Linked DNA regions of Canis lupus familiaris. The protein of the gene in region 1 purifies or fractionates together with the protein of each later gene. This does not show direct contact. Links are inferred from orthologs where the notes say so. Each region holds a gene or a part of one and is shown in the gene's direction. Other genes may lie near its edges. The genes, in order: RAB3GAP1 and VAPB.

What was found.
Region 2: the proteins of RAB3GAP1 (region 1) and VAPB purify together in Homo sapiens (affinity purification with mass spectrometry; 4 studies listed by BioGRID and IntAct, counting the BioPlex papers as one, with this or other methods). This does not show direct contact. The link is inferred for Canis lupus familiaris from reciprocal best matches to the Homo sapiens genes RAB3GAP1 and VAPB.

Annotation. Positions count from the first base shown.
Region 1 is NC_049240.1:39,439,819-39,443,250, forward strand, and holds the end of RAB3GAP1 (rab3 GTPase-activating protein catalytic subunit), read left to right. Parts: intron 1-311; coding exon of another isoform or gene 312-347; exon of another isoform or gene 348-717; intron 718-793; coding exon 794-1,030; 3' UTR 1,031-2,632; downstream 2,633-3,432. UniProt on the Homo sapiens protein: Catalytic subunit of the Rab3 GTPase-activating (Rab3GAP) complex composed of RAB3GAP1 and RAB3GAP2, which has GTPase-activating protein (GAP) activity towards various Rab3 subfamily members (RAB3A, RAB3B, RAB3C and RAB3D), RAB5A and RAB43, and guanine nucleotide exchange factor (GEF) activity towards RAB18.
Region 2 is NC_049245.1:43,976,057-43,979,878, forward strand, and holds part of VAPB (vesicle-associated membrane protein-associated protein B/C), read left to right. Parts: intron 1-75; coding exon 76-252; intron 253-3,031; coding exon 3,032-3,190; 3' UTR 3,191-3,822. UniProt on the Homo sapiens protein: Endoplasmic reticulum (ER)-anchored protein that mediates the formation of contact sites between the ER and endosomes via interaction with FFAT motif-containing proteins such as STARD3 or WDR44.

The DNA of each region.
Region 1 (3,432 bases):
AAGGTCATTAAGACTAACCACCTCTTTAACAGTCTAATTTGGCATACCTTTCATGCTGATGTTTAGTATAACATGATTTCGTATTTCCATTGCCAAAACAATACTCTTTTTTTTATATTGATGGTGTTATGAAAGAAATCAAGTAATTAGAGAAATGAAAAAAGTATATTGATCAAGGTTGAAATGAAAGCTCTAATTGGATTTTTTAATGCAATTTTAATGCAAAAAATAGATGCCTTTAATACTAAGAACTTCTCTTTTGTGGCCATTGCTGTATTACATGGACCTGTATCACTTCTTTATCACCTTAGCCGCTCAGCAAACAAAACCAGTGTCCCCAGTTTTAATTTGTCAAGTGAACCTTAAAAAGAAATGAAAGAGTGGAGATAAAAACCATTTTCCCAGACTCTGGGGAGAAGCAGCTCCTTACTGGACTGAGGACATCAGACTTGAACTTGGGTTGTTGCTAGAAGAAACGTGTAGAAACCAGTACTACACTTTCCCTCTTCATCAGATGTCGGAATATGGCCCTCACTTTTCAAAGCAGATTGCTTGGCAGTCATTATCTCTTTGTCTCTGTCACCAGTTTATTTGTAATCTCTGGCTGCTCATGCAGTGTTTCAAGCTTCTTGCTTTTTCTGTGTTTTTGAGTAATCATAACATGGCTGACTGCATTACTGAGTAATGTAGAACATTTTTTTATGTATATGTCATGTTTATTCATCTGTCCTTCAAAATGATCGAAGTTTAGCATTGGACTTGCTCTTGAATTTAGCATTTGATTCTGTTCAAGGCTGCAGCCGTGGCTCCACCAGAGGAGGAACTGAAGAGAATGGGCTCTCCAGAAGAGAGAAGGCACAACTCGGTGTCAGACTTCCCCCCTCCTGCTGGCCGGGAACTCATTTTGCGCACCACTGTGCCACGCCCGGCTCCATACTCCCGTGCTCTGCCTCAGCGCATGTACAGTGTTCTCACCAAAGAGGATTTCAGACTTGCAGGTGCCTTTTCATCAGATACCACCTTCTTCTAATTCTTCTAGAGCAACCTCATTTATGGCTTCAGAGACTGTGCTGACCACTCCTGTGGGAGCAAGGTTGTGCCAGTCAGAACTTGAGAGGCCATGAAGAGGACCTGTCCAGTCTCATGATCAGGAATCATACCAGCATCTGAAAGACTTTCCAGCACCGTGCTTGGGCTTTTTTGTATCTTGGTTGGGTCAGAGAGAATGAGCTTGAGCTATTGAAAGATATGTTCCCCAAAGAGATGGCCCTTGTTTGACTAGGGATCTTAGGTAGGAGTTGGGGGGATGTGCAGGGACCAGAAAAGCAACACGAGCTCTCTGTACTCACTCATTTATTCTTTCCCATGGGAAAAGTGGGCTTGTGCTCATTTATTCTTTCCCGTGACTATCTTGTGCTTGTGCTCATTTATTCTTTCCCGTGACTATCTCTTAGGCTGTCGCCTTGCATTCACAGTCTGTATAAACACATTTGTTACATGTGTTAGTATCAGGTATGCAAAACAGAGTATCTATTAATTGGGATTTCTGGATATTTTGGTGGTAGCTTCTTTTCCCAGAATCTGTGTTTTTGAAATACTAAATGACATTGTTTATTCAATCATCTAGTGGCCATTTAATTGTACTAATTAACTTTTGATGAGTATTTTGAATATTCTAGGAGAAAACCTAGAATTTCATAGTTTATGTGTTTTTCCATGTTAACTATGACCTAAATGTATTCCTTCTGATATAACTATATATTAAATGTCACTGCAAATTAGTTTTATACCTTACCTTGTAAGGTTTGTTTCTCTTGTTTTGTTTTTGGTTGCAGTAAGATGCCAACCTGCAAACTGTTCCCATCTCTTGCGGTACAGCATGCATTCCTTTTGTGATTGTTGGCTAGATACTATATTTAATGGAGTAGAGATGAGCACATGCTACAAATATAACTTTGGAACATAGAGATTATCATGTCGTTAGTATAATTTGGTGTATGTGCTAATGTAATGAATATAAGATTATTTCAGTGAACTATTTTGCTTTTGTGTTTTAGTTAAAATGAAAATAATCGTTGGGGATATATAGCACCCAATAGAAGAATAAGAGCAACATATTTCTAGTTATGTGGTGATCAAGATTTATTAAGTCTCTGTTGCTATTTGGCCTCTGTTCAGTCTGAAATCTATTTTTAGGCCTAAACTTCCCATTTTAATCCAAAACAAAAAATGATTATCTGAAGCATAGACTTTGCCTCTGTAATTTAAATAATTAATAGAGCTGTGTAAACCTAATTATATTATTTTTGTAATAAAAAGTGTACATATATATGTCTGTGTGCACATATATATGTATATATGTATATATGAAGTAGGGGAGGTCCTGATTGGTCCTGATTTGCCTCCCAGCCTTCACAGTGCTTTTCTCTGAGATGCTGGACTTGACTGCTGCTGGTAAACCATACAGATCAGGCCTGAGTACTGAGCACTGTATCAAGTAGAAAATGGATCTTTCAAGGACAGGATTTGTCTGCTTTCCGGTGAGGAAGTTAAAGCAAAGAAACGTTTTTTAAAGAGAGGTTGGACTTTAAAATGTCATTGTAAATCTAATAAAAAGAAAAGTCTTGCTTTCTCTGGCTACTTTTCTTTTCTCTCCTCTGGTGGGCGCTTTGGTCTTATTTCAGTTAGTTTTATGCTGTCTCACATCTTCCTAAATATTTGCAGCCTGCTGAGTCTTGCAGGGGTCTCAAGAACGCTCTCTGTGCCTTCTTTTTTAGTGGCAGTTACCCCACTTTACTTTTATTATAGTTATGTTTATTTCACAGATATTTTTAAGCACCTGCTTTCAGGCACTATACTAGGCAGTAAAGATAAAACATAGCAGTACACTCCTTCCTTTTCAGTGACCTTTCTGTCATGTAGGGAAGGTTGATGCTACATTGCCATAAAATGGAGAGTATAGTCAACTCATCTGTGAACTGGAGGTCCAGCATTTATTGTATAAATTCATTCAGTAGCAACAGAGAGTAATACATGCATTATTAGTGAATAATGTGTCTAATAATAAGGTATTATAAGAGAGGTTTTTTTACTCAGGCTTAGGGATCAGGAATATCTTCATAGAGGTAATTTCTAGGTTGGGACCAGAAGATGCGTAGGAGCTGATGAAGAGTTGGGAAAATATTGTAAATTGCTTGCAAAGAAGAACTATACCCTGTCCACTTGTGGATAATTTAATGTGATATTGCCGCTGCTCCCCCATGAAGTGGAATTTACTTTGTATATTTGGACATTACTTGTCTGGAGTTAGCCATGCCTCTTTGGTCACTGGAGTATTAGCAAGTGTGACACAGGTGGAGACTTGAAAAGTACTTGTGCCTCAGGGTTTCCCTCTCTTCCTCTGGGAACCCTGAGATTTGCAAAGAAGCCTGA
Region 2 (3,822 bases), on another chromosome or scaffold:
ACTACTTTACTTTGCATAAAAAAGTCCTTTATTACATAGTTGGTGACACTTGCGCTTTCATTTATTTCTGAACAGCATGATGTAGAAATAAATAAAATTATACCCACAACTGCATCAAAGACAGAAACACCAACGGTGTCTAAAGCTCTGAGTTCTTCTTTGGATGACACTGAAGTTAAGAAGGTGATGGAAGAGTGTAAGAGGCTGCAGGGTGAAGTGCAGAGGCTCCGGGAGGAAAACAAGCAATTCAAGGTAATGGCATTTTCTTTTCTTTTCTTTTCTTTTTTAAGATTTTATTTTTTTAAGTAATCTCTCCATCCAACATGGGGCTTGAACTCACAACCCTGAGATCAAGAGTCACACGCTCTATCAACTGAGCACTCCAATAGTGTTTTATTTCTTGATAATCTATAAAAAACAGGGACTTTTTAACACTCTGATCTTGAGTGGGGGAGTTGACAAATCCCTGAATTTGTAGAGTTGTTTTGTATTTACACATTCTTCCCCTAGGGAGAAATTTCTGTGGCTTTCATCAGGTTCTCAAAAGAGCTCTGATTCCCTCCTGCCACCCCACTCCCACCCCTCAAGTTAACCAGTGTCTGAGGAGAAGCTTTTCAACTATTTAAATTCTTGTTCCCTTGTATTTGATATGTTGTAATAATGTATTTCATCCTCTAAACCTTTCTGTGAGTAGGGATTGTTACCATCCCCAGTGTGCAGGTGAGGAGACTGAGGAGCAGAGGTTAAGTGACTTGCCTGAGGTCGTACTTGCAGTGAGACTTGAACCCAGGCTTTGTGCCCTGAGCTCACAGTGGTTCCATTCTCCGGCCTCAGCCTGCAGACTCTTGTCCTCTTGTAAGAGCTCCTCTTGCCTTCACATTAGTGTAAACTGAAGATAAATTCTGAGACTAAACACAAAACTGCAGTGGTTATCCTGAATTCACAGTGTCAAACCCTACTATATCCCCAGTAGGTGAGAATCTTTTCTTTAGGAGGGTAAATAGGTAAATACCTGTACTCTTTTAACATAGGCATAATTCTGGTTTTTGAAGATTCTAGGTGGGTCTGGGCAGTAGGATCTCCTCAGATTGGTTCACATGGTGATGAGATTGGAGATGGGAAGTTGTCACAGTAGACAGGTGGAGATTATAGAAGGAGAAACCCGGGTCTCCAGCTTGTGGCTGTTGAAGAGGTAGTTGGCATGGGTGTTAAGAGGGTCAGGTTGAACTGGGCAGTAAAGGAAAGTAGGGTGCACTTCATTTGGCCTTGTTGGCCTACGGTGTTATGCCAGTGACTGCTCACACTTGACTAGCTCTGGATCTGTGATGGTCACAGCATCTCCTGGGCCTCGACTCACAAAACCTGTCTGAGGCGCCGTCCAGCCTTAAAAGTATGTCTATTTCAGACATGGTCTTGAAGAGAATGGTTCTGAGCATCTGGTCATAGGAACGTCTGTTGCAGCTTAAATATGAGGCTGGTCTGTTCACTTCTCGATCATGCCACTCACCCATGCCCTAGGCTTTTGCTCTTTAACCACCATAGCACTAGACACATGTAATAAATACATTCCATTCAGTTGACTTCTCCTTCTTTTATTCTGACAGTGTTATAGATACAGGAGACCTGACAGTGTCTGGAGAATGGCATCATCTTCTTTTTTTTGCAGTAATCTTGATTTGCCTCGTTCAGTAACTTCTTTTAGTATGGTGTAAATTATGAAGCTGACACTTTACTTTTTGACTAAAAATCTAAGATATGCCTAAAGCTTCTCCTTGAGTGTATTTCTCTTCAGAAACAGAGTCCTGTGCCGTTTAAAGTGATAAATAGGTAGAAATAGCTTCTGTATAAACCCAATAAAATAAATGCTGTATTTTGCTGTGCCCATTTTTTTTTGAAGTTAATCGAATAACACCAGTCATTTATCACTGTGCAGCGATATTGGCCATGCCCCATGAGCAGAATATCTTTAAAATATTATCAGACCAATCTTGACATTAGAAGATTCTTTATCCTGCCAAATACTGATTTCTTGTTTTGTGTTGTTTCATTCTTTCATTTGGCCAACACATTTTCTGAGCCCCTCCCATGTACTAGCACTGTGGGCACAAATACAAGCTGTCCCTGCCACTGAGGAGCTCCCTGCTGACCAGGGTAGCTGGGGACAAAAGTACTGATGAGCTGAATGATGAGTGGCCCCACAGAGATGGCCACAAGTGCTGTGGAGAGTCAGCACAATGGCCTGCCTGTTGTCTCCAGGACGGACAGGTTTGGGGATGAGTAGTTGGGGTAATTAGCCAGAGATGCACCTGAGCCCAAGTACAGAGGCCTTGCTGCATGCCCTGTTGAGGGGTGTGGAGTTGGCCTTGGGAGTAAAGGAAGAAAAAGTTTCTATTCCATGCATTAAGTAGAAAAATATCTGAGCTGCATATATGAGATTCAGTCACATTTTAATATTCCAAATATCATGTTTTCTGTCCAGCAGTCTACATGTAACTCATCAATACAGAGTTCTGCATTTGAAAGCTGCTGCACAGTGTAGTTTCTTGTGATTTTTATATTTGTGCTTTGAGAAATGCCTATCATTTCAAAACTGGATGACTTGGTTAGGGAAGCCTGCTCCGTAGAGGGAGGGAAGACAGAGAGGGTTGGAGTCCGATGTAGAAGGGTGGCCCGGAGGCATGGCCAGAGAGGTAGATGGCTCCTGGGGGCAGAAGAGACTGGCTGAGCCTTTCAGAGGCTTTTTTCTGTAAGTCCTGGGGAACCAAGGTACTTAGATGTATGGTATAAAAAGGTGCCTAGCAGCATTGTGTAGGTGGGTGGAAGGAAAGAGGGGTTTCTGGCAATATATTCTGAGTGACCTCAACCCAGTGCCTTCTCTGTGGGATTCAGTTTCTCCCTTTGAAAAATGAGGAGGCTGGCCCACACCATGTGATTCAAGTGTGTTTTTTAAAGGCCCATCCTGTTGAACTGACAGTTGACTTTTGCTTCTGGTGCCTTGGGTTGTCTTTGAAATGTGCCTTTGCTCCCGTAGGAGGAAGATGGACTCCGGATGAGGAAGACAGCTCAGAGCAACAGCCCTGTGCCTGTGTTAGCTCCAGCTGGGAAGGAGGAGGGCCTCAGCGCCCGGCTCCTCGCCCTCGTGGTTTTGTTCTTCATCGTCGGTGTGATCATAGGGAAGATCGCCTTGTAGAGGCAGTGGGCACAGGGCGGCACACTGGATTGATGGGCCCGCCATCCCCTGGGCTTTGACTTTATCATAACCATGTGTAAAAAAGAAGTTCATGTATGATGACATCTCACAGGTCTTGCCTTTAAATTACTCCCTCCCTGCGCGTGCGCACGCGTGCACATACACACACACAATTATAACGTAACAATCCTTTAGAGAGTTAAAAATGTATAGTAAATGATTGGGGGAAAAGAATGGTCTTTATTAATGACAAGGGAAACCGTGATTAAATCGTAATGGCATGTCGTGTCATTTTAAACATGTGTAGCCTTGGTACATGTGGCTGGGTTGATTACTTCTCTTAGAACAAGACACTCTTCCTGCCTGTTGGTGCCGGGCCTTGGGGAGCTGGAACCCAGTGCGGTGGGGAGGGCCGTCACCTCCACATAGCAAGCCCCACCCACTCACTCACTCTCTGGGCTGCTGCTCCACGTTCTGTCCCCAGCTGTCGGTTCCTTGGGACTGATGAACAGGGTCAGAAGCCAATGGCATTGTGCTGTGGCAGTGTCAGATCTGCCCATCAGGAGCGAGAGGCAGTGGGAGGCAGCAGGAGGTGGACTGACCCAACACTTTGGAAATGAAAGTCAATGCTT